2 linked regions of the Rhinolophus ferrumequinum genome follow. The protein of the gene in region 1 interacts with the protein of each later gene in a pairwise test. Links are inferred from orthologs where the notes say so. Each region holds a gene or a part of one and is shown in the gene's direction. Other genes may lie near its edges.

Evidence for each region.
Region 2: the proteins of VENTX (region 1) and TBX15 interact in binary tests that used the Homo sapiens proteins (3 or more experiments, as listed by UniProt). The two-hybrid records come from large-scale screens. The link is inferred for Rhinolophus ferrumequinum from reciprocal best matches to the Homo sapiens genes VENTX and TBX15.

Annotation. Positions count from the first base shown.
Region 1 is NC_046299.1:300,540-311,418, reverse strand, and holds the start of VENTX (homeobox protein VENTX), read left to right. Parts: upstream 1-6,635; 5' UTR 6,636-6,640; intron 6,641-7,676; 5' UTR 7,677-7,717; intron 7,718-8,308; 5' UTR 8,309-8,388; coding exon 8,389-8,401; intron 8,402-10,644; coding exon 10,645-10,805; intron 10,806-10,879. Other genes in the region: UTF1 (undifferentiated embryonic cell transcription factor 1), read left to right, coding at 1-486. UniProt on the Homo sapiens protein: May be involved in ventralization.
Region 2 is NC_046305.1:48,464,611-48,475,074, reverse strand, and holds the start of TBX15 (T-box transcription factor TBX15), read left to right. Parts: upstream 1-5,568; 5' UTR 5,569-6,025; coding exon 6,026-6,230; intron 6,231-10,464. UniProt on the Homo sapiens protein: Probable transcriptional regulator involved in the development of the skeleton of the limb, vertebral column and head. Acts by controlling the number of mesenchymal precursor cells and chondrocytes.

The DNA of each region.
Region 1 (10,879 bases):
GCCCCGCCGCTACTAGCTGAGCGCGACCCCGACGCAGACCCAGCCTGGACGCTCAGGTTCAGCTCGTCTCCGGCCAAGTCTGCGGATGCCTCCCGCGCCCCCAGCTCCCCGACGACGCTCCCCACCTTTACCCCCGCTCCCGGTCGCCCAGAGGATCACGCGCCTTCCCACGGCCCCGACTCCCCGCCGCCGCCGCCGCTCTCCGACGCCGCCTGGGAAGACTCCGACTCGCCGCCTGGCCGCCCAGAGAATCAAGCGCCTCCACAGTCCGCGCCCCCGTCGCTGAACGCCGCCCTCCTGCAAACCCTGGGGCACCTGGGCGACATCGTGGCCATCCTGGGCCCGCTGCGCGACCAGTTGCTGACCCTGAACCAGCACGTGGAGCAGCTGCGCGGCTCCTTCGACCAGACCGTGTCCCTGGCGGTGGGCTTCATCCTGGGCAGCGCCGCCGCTGAGCGGGGCGTCCTGGCGGACCGGCGTGAGTGAGGCCTGTCCCTTCCGTAGCGCCACGCCCCCCTCGGCCCTGACCCCGTCCCGCTGCCCTCCCCCACACCTAGGTACGTTCAATAAAAAGGTTGTTTTTCGCGATTTAATCCGGTGAATGTGTGCAGGGCCCCTTAGGTAAGAACATCCCCCTGCAGGTAAGGCCCGCAGAGGTCGGAGCCGGTTAAAATGGCCTGGGTTCCTAAGGTGGGGCTGAGAGTACCGGGTGGCCTGTTGTCCGGGTGGGATGGTAACCAGGGCTTTCCCAAGGAGACCAGTCTCCAGGGGGAGGAGCCTCTTGGCCCCTGGAACCTGAGATATTGGGGTCTTCCAGATCTTACCAAACTCGCCGGCCAACACAGACCAGCCACGGGGGCGGGGCAGGCAAGCACTAACTCCACCCTTTCACGCAGCCCTGCTGAGTGGTACAAGGGAGCGCTGGGCTCCACCAGCAGAATGGGGGGCTGGGAATGGGTGGCCCAGGTCTGCCTAATTCTATGGGGGAGGTGTGAGCTGTCTCTGGCCCCCACCATAGGCGCCCAGCGCTGCGCAGGTAGGGTGTTCCCAAAGTCTCACCTTGGCCAGACCAACTCCCGGCCGCTGTCCTGAGCTGAGTCTGGGCAACGGGACTCAGAGGTCTGGAACACACAGGCAGGAGAGCTAAGGCGCACGTAGGGAAGGGGCTGGTTCTGTCCCCAGGGAGGTGACTGACCTGGATGGGCCAGGGTGTTAGGGGCTTGGGCGTCTGAGACTTTAGACTTTGGCTGAGGCCAGGGCCCCTGTAATTTTAAGACTACCAAAATCACTCGGGTAGCATTTTTCAAATCGTAATTGAGGGCCCCACCCCGACCTGTGGGTCTGGCTGAGAGGGAACTGGGTGGGGCTTGTGGGACCCCTCCCCAGGTGGAGGGAGGAAGTAGCCTGAGGCGCCTCACCAGCATAACAATACAAGCCGGGGTCGAGTGGGAGGGGCCCATTTCACCAACTAGGGGCTCATTCAGAGGGACTTAAGTGATTGCCCTGGGCCATGGGCTCAGTAAGGGATGGGCCCTCCCTCCCTGGCCCTCTGGTTCCAACCTTCCTGAGGCCTCAGCAGCCAGTGGGTTGCAGCCCCTCCCCCAGGCCCTTTTCGGGATCTGTGGGTGAAGCGACCCCAGTTGGACCCTCTGCCTGCAAAGTCCCCCATGGGGGCCAGGGCGCTCTCTCCAGACCTAGCTGAGCCTGCCCTTCAGCTGTGTGTTGATGGCAGGACCTGAGGGCTCTGGGAGAGACCAAACCCAAAAAACTGACTCCAAGTGTCACCTCTTACGACACACTGAGGCTGTCTGCTGAAGTCCCGTGTATCTCAGAGCTGCCCAAAGCCAGTTTACAAACATCTCCCCACCCCCCACACAACCTGGAATGTCAGAGCCGCAGGTCGGGGGTCTGAGACAGCAGACCTCATCCCAGCAAACCCGCAATCCCCAGGGGTGGGGACTGGCATTGGTGTGCCCATCACGTCACCGGGAACCCTTGGCCCTCAAAAGGGCTGTTTTGAGGACGGAAAGAAACCACCTAAGGCATCAAGTGTGAGGTATCTGAGGACACCAAAGAAAATCCATCTGCCTTCCTGCCACGTCGACTAGGGGCTGTGTCCCCGGCTTCTTCCTGGGGCGCCCCATTGGGGTAATGAATCCGCACACTCCTTCCTGGACAGCTACAGGTCTGCAGGGGAGAGATGGGGGCTGTGCAGTGCCCTACGCCCGCCGCAGCCCCAGCCCCAGCCCCAGCCCCAGCGCCGCGGCAAGTTTCTCTACCATTTTTACCACTTCCCTTCCTGATGCTGTGCGAAGCCCCAATTGCTTCTCACTGGCCCTACCAGAGACTCCCTGTGCCTGCAGCTCTCATCTGTGGGGCAAGGTGTGTCCCAGTCCTGCTCTGTCATACTGGACACCATAGGCGTGTCTCAGCACGTGAGGTGAACACACCGTGGTGGCACTGTTGTCCCTGGCTCTGACACATCTCCCTGTGCCTGACCAGGAGTGCTGGGCAATGTTTCCAGGAGGGCCTCCTGGGACCACTCTTCAGTGTTCAGATTAGAAGCCTCTTCCGTCTCACTAAGGGACACTGGTCAGGTTCATACCTTTCTCTCTTATTGTGGTAAAATACACAACATACAGTTCACTGCCTTACCCATTTTCAAGTGCATCAAGCACACAGTGATGTGCAGCTGTCACCACCATCATCCCAGACCTCCATCTTCCCACACTGAAACTGTCTCCATTAGACACTCACTGCCCCTCCCCCTGGGAATCCGCACGCCACTTCCTGTCTGAATGTGACTCCTAAGATCCTCCTAAGTGGAATCACACTGTGCTTGTCGTTTGGTGACTGGCTTATTGCACTGTGCACAATGTCCCCGGGTCCCTCTGTGGTGGCCTGTCGGAACGTCATTCCTCTTGAAGGCTGTGTAATGTTTCCATTAGCAGACAACTCAGAAGACAGGAGACACACATGAAAACACATCTGCTCTGGTACCAGCCCTGAAGGGAATGGATGTCGGTGGGAGGCCCAAGGCCCCTGGCGCTTCGGAGAGGAGGTAAGGGGGAGGGAGAGCTCCCACCTCTTGGCCATGTAACTCGTGCTGCTGTGAATGTGGGTGCAAGTACCTGTCCAGGCCCTGCTCTCAGTTGCCTTGGACAAACACCCCGAAGGGGGGTGCTGGTCACCTGGCAGCTCTGTGTTGGGTTTTCTGAGGCCCCCACACTGCCTTCCCGCGGCTGCCCCGTTTCACATCCCGCCCACAGTGCACAGGGTGCCCACCTCTCCACGTTTCCCCAGCCTGTATTTTCTGTCTTTTTGACAGTGGCTGTCCTAGTGGGTGACGCTGGCACCCTTCGGTGGCTGTCTTACGGCATGTACAGTTACAGTGCTCGCTGCCCCCTTGATGACTGGACACCCACCATCCAGTTGTTTGGTGGATCCATCTAGCTCATCTTTATAGCAGGTTCTCACTTCCTGGTGTTAATTCCTGGTGACCAACAACCTTACTCTCTTCTGTGCTGCGTGGAGGCCCATGAAGTGTGCACATCACTGATGTCCCTCACCAGCTCGATGACCAGCAGTGACCATGGTGCAGCTTCAGAGACATGGGCTGGCTTGGTTTTTCCCCTTTATCCCGTGTCCTTTCTGTGCCACACCACTGTGTGTTCAGGACAGTCAGGCCCACACCAAGACCGCACCTGGGTTCTTGTCACCATTTGTCCCATCGAGAGGGGCTGTGGCAGTAGCACGCTCTGGGGTCACTTTGCTTCTGTGTGGGCAGCCAGTGGGCTGGAGCCCAGCTCCCCTCTCCCTTCCCCCTCCCAAAGCACCCGGGGCTTTGGGCCTCCCACCCACATCCGTTCCCTTCAGGGCTGGTACCAGAGCAGATGTGTTTTCACGAGTGTCTCCTGTCTTCTGAGGTGTCTGGTTCACTGCTGATTCTGATAACACCGGGCACACGCATGCTTTGTGTCTGGAGCAGCACACTGCAGCAGACCCTGGGACAGACCCATTCGGGAGCAGCACTGTCCATTGCCACAGCCACGTGTGGTCATTGAGCTCGAAACGTGGCCAGTGCGACTGAGAAACTGGTTTTTAAACCTAGATTAATTTAAATCAGCTTATGAACACACATCATTTAGGACCAGTCAGCAGTCTGTAAGACAGTTAGAGATACAATGGACCTGATTCCACATTTAGTCCTTACGTAAAATTCTATTCTATTCTAGTGTTGTCATTGGTTTAAGGTCCTATCTTCAGAATATTGCCTTTAAATTTACATTTAATTCGATGGCCAAATCCCATTCCTTTCACCAAAGTCTGAGACCTTCCAGTAGTGACCTGAGGCGATTCAGGCCTGATGTCGCTGTCGTCACAGTTGTACAGGCAGGTCTCATGTCTATCTGTTCATCCTTTTTAAAAAGAACACATTCCATTACTGTGCCTTTAAACGGCGTCCAGCATAGCTGGTCCTTAAAGACGTGTGTTCGCTTCCGCTTCCGCACTCCTTTCCTTCAGAGGAGCGTGTTTTCCGGGGCAGAGCCAGCACTGGCCTGAGTGGGTGGCTCCAACGCACTATGCTGGCAGCACCGGCCTAAGCCGGAAGCTGGCAGCTGGCTTAGGGGGACCTGCCATGGGTCGCCCCCCAACAGCACTTCTTCCTCGTCTCGTTTGTCCCTCTGCTAGAGCTCTGGAACCCCCACTTCCCACAGCATGTTTGGCCTCCGGCGCCTTGCCTCGCCTGTGGGAGTGGTGAGGCCCTTCCCATCGCCCACCTGCCGCTGCCAGTCCATCCTTCCAAGGGCGGGATGGAGGTGGGCAGAGGGGGGCAGGGCCCACTCTCCACGTGTCCTGTGGCGGCAGCAGGCAAAGAGGCTCTACCCTGGGGAGAGGGACCTGGGCGCCATAAGAAAGGAGGGACGTGGGAGAGGCGCCCACGCAACGGACAGGGAGACGCCGACAGGTAGACGGAAGTGAGCCCGTCCCCAGGGGCAACCCTTTACAGATTGGGGGGAGGGGATCTACCTAATCACACCTGCAGCCTTAGTAATTCGACACCCGCACCTCCACCCACTAGGTGCTCTCTCCTGAGACTCACCCAGCTAGGGTGGGGTCATGCCCACCTTGCCCCCACACTCACACCTAGGATCTTTCCACAAACAAACAGTTGGGAGACCCAAGGAGGAGGGGTCCAAGGGGACTGTGAAGGGCAAGGCGGCAGGGAGGGGCGTGGCCGTAGCGGAGGGGGAGGAGCCGATCCCGTGAGTGATCCGCGGTGGAGGTGGGGTTGGCGGACGGAGTGAGCGCCGGCGAGAATGGGACGGCCGGAGACTGCAGGCGCCCAGGGCCAGGTGCGGGACGCCGGAAATCCCGTGGTGGGAGGAGTGAGCTTGGAAGCGTGTTGGGGCGGGACTGCTGGGCCTCCGAGTGACAGACGGCACTGAGAGCGTGGGGAGCGCGTCCACCGTTCAACTCTAGGCCCCGCCACCCGCAGGTACAGGTGGGAGGGGACTCCGTCGCCTGCAGGCGCAGGGTTTGGGAGTATGTCGCCCCGACATAGAGGCCCGCGGCCGAGAGCACAGGCCACGCCCGCATGCTATCACGGGGTCTCCCAGGAAGACGGCCTAGGGGCTGCTGCGGAGTAGTAAACCCGGAGTGCGGGTCCCAGAGCCAGGGGAAGGGCAAGGTCCCGGCAGCCCCAAAAGCTGATCCTAAGCCCATTGAGGAAGCTGAGGCCGGGCATGGGTGACAGCTGTCACTGTCTCGAACAGCCGGGTTAGAGGGAGGGACCCAGACTACAGAAGGGGACGGGAGACCCCACTGGACGGGAGCCAGTCAGGTGAGAGGACAGCGTGCCGGAGCCCGTGGCAGGGCTGAAGGGAATGAGGGAGGGACCACTGGGCAGGAAGGGGGCCAGCAGCCTGGAGCTGGAGGGGAGGACTCCGGAAGGAGGGGGGCTATCTGACCTGCAGAGGCGCCGTCACCTTTGGACTCAGGAGAGGTGTTCAGGTGTGTGGGGGGGGCCGGGAATCTGGGAAAGTGAAGGCGGAGGGCCGCTAGAGAGTCCGGGATTAGACAGGAAGTCGCGCAGCACAATTGGGTTGCTGCGGGAGGTGTGGGTATGTGGTCGAGAGGCCAAAGGCCCGGCCCTAAAGACTAGAAATGGAAAGATGCCAAGTGCAGAAGCGGTGCGCATGAACGCCGACATTTCCTAAATGACAGCTTTGGGCGCATAGCTGGGCAATCCCAGGAAATGTGGCTCTTTATCTAGAGGCCTGTTCTGAGCACGTGGAGCTGTCCTGGGGGATACTTCCTTCTGCCAGGTTTGTGAGGCACCCCCAACCTGTCTGTCCCCGGAGGAGCTCTGCGCAGGCCCCCACCGGACGGGCCTCTGTCCCCAGGTAGCAGAACGTCCATGTCGTGTTGGCGCCAGAAGCCTGCCACACCCGCGTCCGGGGCCCCGCGCAGTGAGGGGGGGCGCCCCGCTAATCGCAAGCTGCAGCTCTTACCACACACTCCGCGAGACACGTGGCGAGTGATTCAAATCCCTAGCTTCATCCCGCGGAGTCCAGTGACCGAATGCGGTCGGTGCAGAGGCCGGAGGAACACCCCAGTCAGAGTCAGAGGCGTTGCGGTCAGTCCCCGACCTTTCACCTAGACCACGGGCCAACACGGGCCGGTTCCCGCTGTGCCGGTGGTAGTCCGGCTCCCACATCCCTGGCCCGTCCCTTCCGAGAGGCTGGGGAGGCGGGGCTGGGGTGTTAATCCCAGGGCGAGGCCCGCGGGCCCTTTGATTCCACAGGCTGGGGGCGCGGGGGTGGTCGTCGGTGCTGGGCCCAGACTGGCGCTGGCGCCCCAGGAGCCCAAGCTGCTGACCCAACCGTCTGCACCAAAGCCTCGGCATAGGCTCAGGGGCTGGACCAGCGCCTGCACCTGACTCCGGCCCCGGGGACGCACGCGAACTCCTAGCTGGCATTCTAGGGGTGCTCAGATCCGGGCGGTGGGTTTTTGCCTCGACTGCACCCGGTATGCTTGTGCTGGTCTTGTCCAGGAGACAGATGTGGTCGGCCAAGGTTGGCATAGAGGTCCAGAGGAGGCTGGACCAGCCTGGTTAGAGGGGCAACCACCGCACGGTGTCCACCCGGCTGAGCCTGCTGCCTCCCCCAGAGTACCGGGCCCTGGACGGGACCTGGCCAGTTCAGGAGAGAAGCAGCCACAGGGACAGGGTGACCTCCAGGCACTCCCCTGAAGCTCAGGCTCCATAGTGCCCTGTCACAAAAGTGGCAACTGAGTTACAGTCTGTCCCAGAGGTGGTGAGTCTGTTGGCCTTCCTGCTGGATTCCTCCTGGGAACAGCGCAGGGAGGTGGCCCAGCCCTGAGCCAGCAGACCTCCTCCTCCCTCCTCCTTTGTGTCACCCAAATCTGGAGGCAACTTGTGGCACCGGGACGAAACCCAGAAGAGGGGCTGGGAGTGACGAGACAGAAGGGCCTGTGGGAGCCTGGAGCAGACCCTCCCTGCCATGCCTGGCTTGTAGCAGTCACCTACCAGGAATGTCTGCCTTACATTCCGGCCCAGCCAGGCAGCCTGGACACAGCAGACACTGGTCGAACCCACCCCATCCTGAGAGCAGGATGCCGACTCCCCCAAGTTGAAGCGACCTCTCTCTCAGTTGCACAGTTGTCACCTCAGCACTGCAGACCCACAGGGCAGGTGGGAGAACCAACTAGGGGAGAGAAGATGGTCTGGCACCCCACAGGACAAGGCCCCAGCTTGGGAGCAGAGGTGGGAGGGGGCCATCCTCACCTTCCTGCTGCCTAGGCCAGTCCTGGTGGGGGTGGGGAGAGATGAAAGGATGTAACAAGTCCCCAGCCACCACAGCTCCCTTAACCATTGACCGCAGCCCCGCCCCTCCCCCAGACATCTTGGAGCCGGGGGAGGTGTGAATGGCCTCCTTTGTGCCTCTGAATTGAAGGCAATTAGATGCTACTTATCTGGGGGGATTTGAGCCATCTACGCAAACCCACCTCCCACCCGCTTCTCTGGAGCTTATAAATGCAGCCCTGCCCTGCTAAACCTGAGGCGGATCCAGTGCTCAGCCCGCCCCGCCTGCCACCCAACCCACAGCAGACCCCACGCCTGGCCCCCACCATCCAGTCATGCATCCTTCCTCCACACTGCCCGGTAGCCGAAAGCAGACCTCGAGCTTTGGCTGTGTGGACTGGCTCTCCCAGAGTAGCCATGTGGGCCGCTTGCACACTTCCAGACCTGGTGACGTTTCCTGGGGGGACCTCTCTGTCCCAGCCAGGGTGTCCAGCAGTTGGGAGGCCCCTCAGACCGTGGGCGTGGAGGAGCTGAAGTCCTCAGAAGCGTCTGTGCCAGGGATGTCCACAGCTGGTAGGTCTGGGAGTGTGGGGGGGTCCCTTCCTTCCCAGATTGGGATGGAAGTTGGAGAGAAGGGAACATGCCCCTGCCACATCCCGTGTGCTTGGGCGGGACAAGGGACCCAAGGGCCGGGGTTGGGGTCCCGCCTTACCCTCTGGCAAGTGAGCTTCCCCTCGGAAGCACAAGCCACAATGGGTTTCCCTCCTCACTCTTGGGGCTCCTCCAGCCTCCTCCTAGAGGGGCTGGCCCCCTGCCCCCACCCAGGCCTGCCGCCTGGGTCCCCACGGGGACACTGACGTTAGCACCTTTGTTTGCTTGGTTTTTGCGTCCATAATAGTCCTGGACCCATTTCTACAAGTGTCACAAGGTCGCAGATAAGTATGCCTTAAAGCTTGTGACATCTGCCCAGGTCATGGGGGTGGTTGTGGTCCCCCCCACAAAGCTGGCACCTCAGTTTGGCATCTAGACTTTGGCCAGTCCACAGTCCGCCTGCAGTCCTGCAGGTTTGGTTCAGGGGCAGCCAGGACTCTGCCTGAAGCCACAGCCTCTGCGTTTCTGCATGTGTGAATTTGTGAATTTCTCCGGCTTCGGCCCGTTCATCTCTGGGAGTCTCTGTGGCTCCTAAGCCTTATCTGACCCTTTGTCGTTTGCTGATGGCACTTTCTCGGTTTGTTTTTTACTCTTTGTGACTTAATCATTGGTTTAGGTTTAAAGACAGGCATGGTTGAAGTGGGGGTTGATGTTATCTAAGTTTTCATTTTTAAAAAAGTTTAAATAATCTTTATGGAGTAATTTTGTACTTTGATGAGGTGAATTTTTAAATTTATTCTCTGCAACCAGTAGCCCCCTCCAAAACCCAATCACCCTGCATCAGAGCCCTTGATGCTGACCGCTTAGGCTCCAGCACCCCGGCCCCTCGTCCTTAGGCAGTGTGTGCGCCTCTTGTCTGGTGAACACTTCCAGGTAAGTGTTAAAACTAATATTGTAAAACCTGCTGCCCCTAAAACAACCGAAGGCATCTTGGTCAGACTTGTGTTAAGTGAAGACATCACGCCGGCTGACCTTACCACGTGGGGGTGCTTAGTGCCATCCCTCATCTCCTCATTTAGAAATTAGAAAGTGTTACCGGCGCCCGGGGTTCTTGCGATTTCCCAGGATGGAAATCAGAGAGATTACCACAAGAAATTTCAGGCAAGAGGCAAAGGTTTATTAAGTTTGTGCACAAGGGAACCAATACCGAGAAAGGGAAGGTTCCGGCGGCTCTCGGAGAGAAGTTGGGGCCGGGCTGAAGGGAGCTGGGCGGGGTAAGGCTGTGTACAGGCCTGTGGAGGCGGGGTTTCTTGGCGCCTGCGCAGTGCGGCTACACGCTGCCTGCGTGCCTCTCTTTAGCATCGTAAATTTCCACACCTGGGCGTGATTTTTAATATTTAAATTAGGGAAAGGTCACTTTAGGGATATGGTTGACCTTACTGCGCATGTGCCGTGAAAGGGACAGTCCCTTGTTGCTGCTAATGCGGATCTTTATGGCTTGCCTGCCAAGGCTCCGTGCCCATCGGTGGCCCCCAGGTGGTACCTGAGGGCCGACATTTGTGAAACACCCGGCTCCAGCAGCTGACCTTTCTGACTAACTCAACACTAGGAAGCTGCCTTCCTATTTCAAAAGCAGACTTACCAGACACACAGTAGATCGTGACAGCCTGGTTCATGGTGACCAAGGCTGCTTTCCCAGCCCCTCAGGCCTTTGCATCGAATGGGTTCCACCTCACTGCCACCCAGCCCTCACCTGGTGAGTGAAGGGAGTTCCTTGTCTGCAGGCAAAAGAAACTGCTTTCTGGGTGGATGTGGGGCTGGTGGAGGTCACCCTTCAGGAAGGGACCAGGTGCTCTGGGGCAGCGGGTGAAGGGTCTGTGCCAGAACTGCTGTTCCATCCCTGTCATCCTTCTGCAATAGCGACGTCCCTGCCAGTGTCCTGAACCACGTCTCCGGACCAGATTCCACACTTGTCTGGGAGGTGGGGCTATCACCTTGACTGACAGTTGTGCCAACACCTAGTGGGACTGTAGAGCAGTGGAGGCTGTTTCTAAAAATGAGGCAAGGGAAGGCGGTCTGCTCTTCCTGACACCCCAGTCATATTTCTTATCTCTGTGCCTGCCATCTGCAGTCACAGAGCTCTGGCACCTGCCAAGTGAGGGCCACGGGTCATGTGGGCCGCACCGGTAGCCAAATGGATTCAGCGCCCTTCTGTCCTCTCCCAGGGTTGAGCAAGGAGGCGGACAGCACGCGGCCCCCGCGTGTCCGGACAGCCTTCACGGCCCAGCAGGTCAGCACCTTGGAGAGCTCCTTCCAGCACCAGCGCTACCTGGGCCCCCTGGAGCGCCGGAGGCTGGCCCAGAAGATGCAGCTGTCCGAGGCGCAGGTGAGGCCCCTGGGCCATACGGGCCACGCTGGGGTAGGGCAATGGTCTGTTGTCCCCCTCACGCTGATCTTGTT
Region 2 (10,464 bases), on another chromosome or scaffold:
CGAAAGAACTCCAAAGAATGCCCTGCCTAGGAAAGCTCTGCCTCCAAGGGGTTGGCTTTCTGGCCAGAGGCGGGCTGGCTGGAGGGTGGAAGGGGCTGCATGCCCTTAAAAGCAAAACAGGACAAAACCCGGCTGCTCCTGCTTGGCGCCACTATTTATCCCTGCCCAGTCTGCCAGACCCTGCTGGGTCTCCCCATCTTTGGAGAACACCCTGGCCTTGCTCAGGTACTGGGTGGCTCTCTCAAGGGGTGAGGGCTCAAGGCTGGGAGCTTAGCATGTTTCCTTTCTTTTGTCACCTAAGTGACCTTGACCACGCAGGTAGCCCTGTGTAGATGAAGGAGAGGAGGTGACGGGACAGCCACATGGGTTAAGCTTCCTGCCAGGGAGAGGCCAGGGTGTGGAGGAGTCCGGGGTGGAGGGCACGCAGCACGTTGCCGAATGCACACATAGATTCCTGCAGGTTTGGGGGCCAGTTGAGTGTGTGGCCAGGATATGTCCCCACATGCCTGAGTGTGACTCTGTGTACCCGAGCATGTGTTGTTTCTACATGCATGTCTGCTTCTAGAAAGGTGTGCGAGTACCGCGCGTAGCTGTACATGGTGTGCACGTGCATGTGTGTGCTGCTGGCTACGTACACTGTTGCTTTGTGCAGTCACCCAAAATACGTGCACCGACCTTGTACTTCTAAGCTTCCTACACAAGTATATAGTAGTTACTGATGTACCCACATTTATTTCCGGAGTGGGGTCACGCTGGTGGCGTCAAAATCCGTTGACTTTGGGTTGAGTTGCCTGGGGTTGCCAAGCAACCCTGTGCTCCGGTGGGTGTCGAATGTTCCCCTGCAGCCCAGACCAGGCCAAGCCAAGGAGAGGGGCCTTCCTTGGGGGGGCCTTCCAGTGAGTCCTCTGGCCTGGAGCCTCAGGCTGGCCTTTCCGGAGCGCCTGGGTATCCTGGGGCGAGCTCCTCCTTCGCGCTCAGTGGGCTCGGCGCTGGCTGGAGGTTTCGCTTCCTGCGAAGGCTGGCAGAGCCCCGGCTGGCGCCCGGCGCCAAAGGCGCACACCGAAGGGCCAAGGTCAGGCGGCCGGGTTGCACAGGGAAGAGAGGAGCTGGGCCTGGGGGAACAGGATTTCCTCGCCTCCTGGGCGCAGCCGCTCCGGGCCTGGCCGCACAAGGCCCCCTTTGTGGAGGGCCCGGCTCCTGGGCAGACCCGAGTCAGCGAACAATAGCGCAATGTTGCCGCCCGCCCGGCCAGGCTTTTCGGGCTACACCGCGGCCGCCGAAGGCCAGGAAACCGGGTGGCGCTTTTTTATAGTCACAAATATAAAATCGGGGCTTTCTCCCCTTTCGCTCGCCCCCTACCCCAACGCCGATAGAAAGCAGATAAATTTATGAAGGGCGAGCTAAGAGAATAATTACAGAGTGAAGGCCGTTAAATTTTATTTCCAGTCCCAAAGGCAAAACCTGCGATTTTATTGCAAACATCTGGAAGGACCGAGAGGAGGGCACGCTGCTGGTTTAAAATAAAAACAAAAGATTTTATTTCGCGAAAACAAGAAAACATCATTAAAGACCCTTTCGCCCCCACGGACTTTTATTTTTTTAAAGTGTGAGGGGGTGGTTGAATAGTCAACGACGCACGACGGTCCCGCAGCTCCCGGCGACTCGAGATACGGTCTACAGGAGTGGACCCGCGGGCTGGTATTGCGCAGGCGTTTCCAGAAATCAGCTCCCTCCCACGCCCACCCGAGGGCTCCAGGCCAGTTAAGCCGCCCCATAACCGGGCGCCAATTTGGGAAAAGAAGTGAAAAGTGGGTACGTTGGCCTCACATTCCCCGAAGATTCGATCACAGCGATACTAAGACCTCAAGTCTGTCCAGCCTCCCACCGATTATCTTGTCTGCCTTGCTCCCTCGGTTATAAAATATTTAGGACCCCTTCATCCTGCGGACAGGGAAACTGAGGCACAGGCCATGAACTGATTCGCCTGAGGTCACAGTTTAGAGTGGACAGGGACCTGGTTGCCAGGCTCCACCTGCCTTGGACTCCCCAGTGTTTCCTCCCACACTGTAGTCGTCTCATCATGTTATGTACCTGCCTGGTCAGGCCAAATTCGTTGTCATTCCTAAGCCCCCCACCGGGTGTCCTGCCTGCGTGTTCAAGGGCGGCCTAACACGACCTGCTGGTCAACCAACTACTATTTTAAACATTGTTTTCAGTTACTCGAAGCTGCAAAATCACAGCGTTTGGGGGATTCCCTAAGTGTTGGGGTATTGGCAGTGGTGGTATTTCAGGTGGTTAGTGTGGAAAAACAGAAGGAAAGGACAGATATGTGGAGCGTACCTAGGGACCCCTTTCTAGGGCGCTTGTTCCTAGGCTGCAGAACTGTCTCGTCTTAGGAAAATTAAGACACGGTCATGGCCAGTTTTAGGTGAGCAGTCACTGTGCCAGCCTTCCTTTCTTGGCTTTCCAGCTGGTGGAGGCTAGGCGTGGCCACTCAATCCCCTGATGTCCCTACAGGTGGTCAGTGAGTTCCTCTTCTCCCCCTCCCGCCTCCCAGATCCCCCCTGACTTCTCAGGTGCTTAAAAATCACTTGGGTGGGGGCGGGGGTCCTGCAGGGGGTAAGGCGGGGCCTCCAGCTTGATCCTTGTCAATCAGCTTCGGGGCTGGAATAGACCTTAAATGCTTGCACCACCTCCACATGTCGCCCAGGATCCTAGGCTGTGGCTGGCAAACCTGGGGATTGCCTCAGGAATTAGCCTCATAAGTGGGGGACCCCACTCTTAGTCCTGAAAGCTAAAGGAGAGATAAACTGGCGTAACAGGAGATTTTGAAAGCCTTTTGATGTAATAAGTGGAAGGAAAATGCATCCCATACTCCCAGATTCTTACATTTAATTCCCCCAACCCTCTTTTTCTTCTTCTCCCCAATTGCATAAAATTACACACCAAAGTCACAGACATTAAACCCTCCTGCTTAATCTTTCTCCAGACCTCCTTCCCTTCAGCACAGGCCCACACCAAGGAGTGCAGGTCACTGGGGGAAAACAATGCAGATTGACCTCTAGTCACAAAAAAGAAAATGTCCTATTTTCACAACTGTTCTGAACCAGCCTGGCTTCGTTAACGTCCGATTTGTCCTAATGGCCTAACCTACTTTTCTAGGATATGTGTAGGTACAGGATGAGGGTGGCGACAACCTCTGTGTAACCTGTAGGAAGGGAGCAGGCGCTCCTCCAAGTACTCTCTGCTGAGCACATGCTTGGGGTGAGGTGCAGATGTCCGCCCTTGAAGGCTTTGCTCACTTCTCTTTGTAGGTCTACCGACACCTAGGAAGTGCAGGCCTTCTGGGTCTGCATGTAGGTCCTCTATCTGAGAAACTTGCATGGCCTCAGGGAGGGTGTGTGGCCTATGGTGCGTCTACTGTTCAATCCAAACCAGGTATGTGCGAGAAGGCCAACGCAAGTGGCTGCCAGAGGGAGATGCAAGAGACAGGCTACGGGGGAGGAGGAAAACGCTGAGAAAGGACAGAGGCCAGCCCCCTCGCTACCCTGCTGGGCCTGGTCCGGGAAGGCTCCAGCGCAGGCAGTGACACCACCACTGGGAGCTGAAAGAGAGGTCTGAGCAGCGGGGAAGGTAACTGTGCCCCTGGCTGGCCATGTCTCCAGCTCCTTTGCTGAAGCCTCATGCTTGTGAATGCGTGGTCACCGTGGGCAGCGGCTCCGGGAAGCAATACCCAGTGGTGACTGAGGTGGGAGTCATGGCACCATGTCACCCTGGTGCCCGCAGTTTGCTAGGCAGTGTGGCGGGAGGTGCGGAGGGGCTCAGCAGGCCACTTCCAGATCCCAGGGTTCTTGGGGACCCCCAAGCCTGAGAGGCAGGCTCCTGGAAGGCCCAGGAGGCCGAGCCCGGCTGGAACACACTTATCCAGGAGTCTTTCCATTATTCTTTCTGCATTTGCTGGGCTGCTAGCTTCTTGTCCTAGCGGCTGGAGCCCAATATGAGGGGCCTACAAAAGTGGCTTTTCTGTTTTTGCTCTCCTCCTAAGAGGCCCAAGTACATGCACCACCCTTGACTGTTGCCTCCAGGACTAGAGTACTTCCAACTACAACAGCAAGGACTGGATTTTCCCAGGTCCGTCAGTGGTCAGGAGGGGAATGTGACATTTTTGAGGCCTCACAGGCCCTCCCTTCTTGCCCCAGGGTGGGAGGACCGCTGGACGCTCCTTCTAGGGGGGTCCGTGACACGCCTCTTGGGCCCCTCTGCCCTAGGCTGGCTAAGGCCTGGCTCTCCGCGAGACTTGTCTGCTGGGCCTCTCGTCGGTCACTGACACCCAGGAGCTGGCTCTTTCCTGCCCCTTTGCTCAGGGATAGAAGCGTCTGGACCAGGGCGTTGGGACGGGACGATCAGTCTGTGGCGAGGCCGTGGTCCATGAAACCCGAGAGCTTTTCCCAGCTCGGTAGGATCCACTTCTCGGCCCCTCTGAACTTGCTCTGGGCTGGGCCCGGGTGTCGTGCGGCCCGCGACCAGTAGTGCAACCTGGGAAGGGGTATGGGAAATCAGAATGGCCAGAAGTGTTGGATTTTGAGTCCTTTAGAAATCTCTGGCGACCGCACTGTCTTGATTTTTTTTTTTTTAAAGCCTAGAGGGAGGATCAGTGGGGCGGGGAGAGCCGGGCTCCCGAGGTGATCGATTCGAAGGGAATTTTGAAAAAGCTTCTTCTACTCTGTCCAAGTTCCTGGTTGCTCTCGCCCAGCCGGTCGCCGAGGGTTCTCCAGAACAAGCGCCCCGAGCGGGCGCAGCTCGGCTCAGCATCCGCGCGGAAGGAAGGGAAGGGCAGCATTTGCTGCTTGCGGGCCCAGTCGGCATCCGCCTGCCGAGCGCGCGGTAAGCCCGGCGCTCCACCGGCGGCCTCCGGCTTTGAGGGGCCTACGTCTCCTTCTCCACCAGGTAGAGCTGGAAGGAGGAAACAATCGTTAGATTTTGAATTACAAGATTCTGGATAGTGATGGGGCTTTTTTTGGTTTGTTTCTTTCGTTTTGCGTTAACCAGAGTTGTTAAGAAATCCTGCAACAGGAAAATAAGAACCTGTGTGACGAAATCCGCGTGGAACCAGCAGATCTCAAAGCATCTGGGGACAGGCGCGAGATGATCAGAGTAGTTTTCTGGTGTTTTGGACAGGTTGACATTTTGTCCGAGCCCCCAGATTCCAGATCTGTAATTCAAATGACTCTGGGCTTGGAGCATCTGTGAGACCTAGCGGATTTGGGAGGAAAAGGTACGGATTTGGGGCTGGTAGGAGTTTGTAACGGCACACCTCGACCTCGATTTCGGCGCCCCCCTCCCCCCCAGGGCGAACCCACGGGACACCGGGAAGCCAGGGGTTAAAGCTGGCCCAGGAGCACCCCGAGCCGACGGGCTCTGAGCCCTGGCCCGAGCCTCAGTCTCTCCCCTCTGCTCATTGGTCCGCGCTCTCAGGGTTTCTCCTGTTCCTTCCTCGCCATTGGTCGGGGGCTGGCTTTTTTCCCCCTCAGTCTTTCTCTTCCTCCCCCTCCCTCTCCCTCGCCCCACGGACAGGAGCGCACCGCCTGCCCCCAGCTCCTCGGGAAGGGAGGAATTTAGAAAAAAAGTTTCCCAGAAGTTTGGATCAGAGGAAGGACGGGAAGACCAAGAGAGGAAGAGGGAGAGGGAGGAGAGAAAGGGAGAGGGAGGAGAGAGAGAGAATAAAAAAAGATGAAGTCCAGTCTGTATAGCCTGTGAGCGCCTGCCCGGGTGGGTGGGAAGCAGGACGCGGGCGCTCATGCAGCGAGCCGGCGTTGCTCCCGGCGCTCATTCGTAGCCGCAGGGGCAGCTAGGGGCGCCGGTCCCAGCCGGCGGCGGAGGGCGGGGGAGGGCTCAGGGGGAGGTGCAGAGGACCCGCTGAGCCGCCGCCTTTCCCGGGCCCGGCCCGGCGGGCGCTCGGAGCGTGAGGGCGCGGGCTGCTCCCTCAGTAGCGGGGCGAGCGGGGACCCGGGTGCGGGCGGCTAAGATGAGTGAAAGGAGAAGATCTGCAGTCGCCCTGAGCTCGCGAGCACATGCCTTCTCCGTTGAAGCCTTGATCGGCTCAAATAAAAAGCGGAAACTGCGAGACTGGGAGGAGAAGGGGCTGGACCTGTCCATGGAGGCGCTGAGCCCCGCGGGCCCACTCGGAGACACCGAGGACGCGGCCGCACACGGCCTGGAGCCTCACCCGGGTGAGTGCATAGGGCCAGACCGCGGGAGGCGGGCGGCCAGCCGGCGGGCAGTGGTGAGGAGGGAGGCCCTGGCCGCTGACGCCCTGCCCCGCTCCAACGCGGGTTCCTTTTTGCGCAAATGCCTTGAGCCTCCCCCAAATTCGCCGGAACCAATTTGAGGGCACTGGCCTACGCCTTGCATTCTCGTCGCCATCCTCAAGCAAGGAGGCCTCCCTGCTCGCATCTCCTCCTCTGGGAGCAGAGCTCAGTGTTCCTGGTGCCCAGAGCTGTGGGGCTGCAGGGCCCTAGGTTTAGGAGGGGCGCCGATCGCAGGCAAGGACCGGAGCGCCTAGGGGCTGGGACTCGCTTCTGAGAGCTCAGCACACCCGGCGCGGAATTCTTGGCTTGACACCTTCGTTTCGGGAAATGCCCGGTTTATCCCATTTAGGTTTCAACATAGGCCCTCGCCTCCGGCCCCCCCCCCCCGACTGTTCTGGGACTCAAGTTGTTGAATTTTCCCTCCTCTGTGAGGAGAGGGCATAATTATATTTCTACGTTGTTGGCGTTTATGGAAAGAGGAACGTATGTCAGACCCCTTTACCCTGCGCCCTGGGTCACTCTTCACGGCCCACACACACCTCTGTGTATTTGGGAATAGAGGTACGATTAATTTGTGTCTCGGATCTGTGCACATTACACGCACACAACACGTAAAACATGGGGCGGGTGTCAATGTCTGTATTTGAACAGAATCCTGGGGGTGGGGGACAACTTAACGTTTTGTATTAGGTGCCAAGATTTCAACTGTGCAAAACAGCCCCGGGGAACAGCTGTGGTCGGAAGAATCCTGCTCGGGCGCTCACCCTCATACACACACGCAACGTTCGCAACTTCAGAAACGTTCCAGCCAGGACTTCTAAAACTATTCTGGAGGTGCTCCTTCTGACCCGGCTAGGGCTGGGGAGTAAACCAGGGTCAGCGAGCCGGCCCTCACAGGATGGGGGAAGCTGTGGGCCCAGGAGCTTGGGGGCTGGAAAACTGGCCGTCCACAGGAGGGACAGCTGTCGCTTACATTCTCTCTTTCGGCAGTGACAGTTCAATTTCCATGCTCCTGAGGCTAATAATAACGCGATTAGCGGGTGACCTGCAGAGACCGAGTTTTATGAATTCTCCGTGTTCTCGTGGCCCGTTATGGTATTTGGGTTTAGTGCTGGGGAATTATTTTTATTAGTCGATGAAAAGAAAATGAAAAGGAGATTTATTTCGCCCACTCAAGTCTTCCCCTGTACTTGGACACGGGTGCCTGTCCACGCGGAACCCTGTGTGGGCAATCCAGAAAGGAACGTGTGGCTAATGTGTAATCTCTGGCCAGACCCTATTTCCTCACCGCATTTATTTGTTGTCAAAATCTCGCTTGGGCCTTCACACAGTTTAGTGGAAGTTCTTTCAGGCCTTACGACAACTTGGGAGGTTAGTTTATTTTACTTTTCCGACAGTGGAAAAGGCAGAAGTTATTTAACTGCGCGTGGCAGACGCCCCGTTCCGGGTAATTTTCTCTAGGGAGTGGGGCCAGGTCGCCCGGAGCCGGCCTAGGGTCGCATGTTCAAAAGGACCAACATAATCCGGCGGGGTCATAATCAGAGACTCAGCTCGAAGTTTTCTTTCCGCCGTTCTCAGCCATCAGCGAGGGGAGAAAAGTGAGGGCTTGGGGCAAGGAGAGACCAGTCCGGGGACGTGAACGTGAGGACCTGGTGTCCAGAATGCGGTTCCCTCGCTCCCGCAGCTCCCGCGGGATGGGGGTAGAGGGTGACGACCTAACATCGCACTTTACTAACAGTTCCCACTACCTTTATCACGTTTTCAAAAAAGAAAAAGATGGGCGTTTGGATTTAGAGAAAACGAAATATGTCTGTGAGGCAAAGGTCCGGGAGGAAGAAGAAGCCGGAAACCGAGAGTACTCGCGGTCCTTCTGCGGAGCGGGGCTCCGGGCGGAGACTGGCTGCGTCGTGGGCCGCCGGGACTCCAACTTGGAGATCTGGTCCCCTTGGAGATCTCCAAGTTGGAGACCCGCAGTGGCCAAGGCTTTCTTAGAAACCGGACGTGGGATAAGGAAAGATCTTTCAGAAAAAGGGCTCGCGCGCGGCGTGGAGACTCGGCAGTCCGAGGAGCGGAGGAGGCGGAGCTGCGGCCCCGGCTGCGCCCGGGTGATAGCGGAAGGCACGGCCAGGGCTTCGGGTCCCCTGTAGGCCTTTCTTTTTGTCTCTCATACAGCGCCCAGACGCGCGCCTGCACACACACACACACACACACACACACACACACACAGAGCCACATTTAAAGGTGTGTATATGGTGGTGGAGGTGGGAGATGGGGCACTGGCGACTCCATTGTGACCGGGCCACGTCTTTGCCCTGCTGCTGGGCCTCACAATTTTGTTTAAACTCTCTTCTCCCGATTAGGACGGAGGAGGGCTGGACCGGCTGCCTGGCTCAAGCGCCCTAGGCCGATAAATAGTCAGGAACAGAAAACAAAACCAAAACACAACAAAAGCAAAATTTCCACAGAGCTGGGGAAGGATTAAACGCGCGTGCCCATACGCAGGACACTTGCCCAGCAGACTGTTACTTGTCATTCTTTGATACCATCTGGTACCATCCCCTCTCTCTGATTGGTACCATCGTTTTCCATCCTCCCTGTCCGAGCCTCAAAATCTCGGGATCCTCAGACAAACCAAGGGTCCGAATTAATTTCACTTTTATTCAAAGACGTGGCCTTTTGCTTTTTCGCAGCCCGTTTTTCTTTCCGCGTCCGGATAGAGCTGGCTTTAGTTGGCGCCGAGCGCTCGCAGCCTGGGGCACCAACCTGCGGCAGCGGGGGACCAGCCCGGCCTGCGCGTTGTAGGCACACACAGCAGAGGACACACAGTATGTATTTCAAAAATTTCCACGGAGCCTAGTGGTCCCGAAAACCCCCGGAGGCCGTTAGGGCCTTGGAGAAGGGCCTGCGAGGTACTCTCATTACTCCCGGGCCTTTTGGAGAAGCCGCCAGGACTCGGCCGCTGAGGGCTGGGGAGGGTCTCAAAACTCATCTCGGAAGAACCTGGCTCTCTGGCCTGTTCGCCCCCGCCAATCCCCCAGCAGCAACAGAGGAAATTTTCGCCGGGAACAGCTGCTCCGGCTGCGGCGGCTTGGAAGTATATTTCAGGCACGCGGCGGCGCCATCGTCGCTTGCACCGCAACCCCTGCTCCACCCGGCTCCCCAGCTCGGGTTTGGGCCTTTCCCGCCCAAATCCACAGCCGAGGGCTGCCGAGGCCGGGTCTCCCGCAGAGAGAAATAATTTAAACCTTCTGCGGGGGGTGATTTCCCCCTCCAGAACCCGCGGGCTTGAGCCTTGCATCCGCCGCGCTCAGGCGGCCTAGGCGCTGGCGATGCACGCGGGTGGGCACACAAAGCCGCGCACACAAGAACGCGCGGGTAGATCGCCACTCAGCGCACACGTGCACACACGTCAGGCACTCACATTGCCCCGTGCACACGTCTGTCTGCGCAACCCCTAGTGAAATGTCACCAGAAAAGCTCTCTCAGTGCCCCAGGGCACTTTCTTTCAAATTGTCGAGATCATCTGGTCACGAGAATTAATATGCCAGTTTATGGCTTGTTTGCTCCGAGTAGAGCCCCAAGATTTGAATCCCCAACCACTCCTCCACTTATCCCCAACCCCCAATAGGGAAACACAGGGTCAAAACGGAGGAAGTGACTCTCTTCCCTGACGTTTAAGTAATGGAGAAAAAATTGGTGAATTCGAAGCCAGTAGAGAGAATGTGCTTGTTCGGGGCAAGCACCAACCTGGGCGCAGGTCAGGGCTGGGACCGCAGTGCAAGGGTGTGTGGCACGCGGGGCGCGACGCCCAGGGGTTTGCCCCGGATAGAGTCCCGGGTGAGGAACTCTGGTTCCCCGGTGGTATGGGCGTCCCTGCACCCGTGTAGGGTTCGAGGGTGCGGGGCCTGAGCCCCGCAGACGAACCCAGGGCTCCCGCCTGCTAGGTCCAAACGGCCTTGGCAGTGGCTGCCCCTTTGGTAACTGACCTTGTCTGAAGGGGAATGGGGGAGAGAGTTAGGCAAATTCTAAATTCGTCGTAGGCTGGTGAGGATAGTGGTTTGCTGGGGGATGACTGCCAAATGCCTTTTACGAGAGCTGGTGGGACGGTGGCTAACTCAGACGCCCTCTGGATGCTGGGGCAAGGAGAGCGCACCGC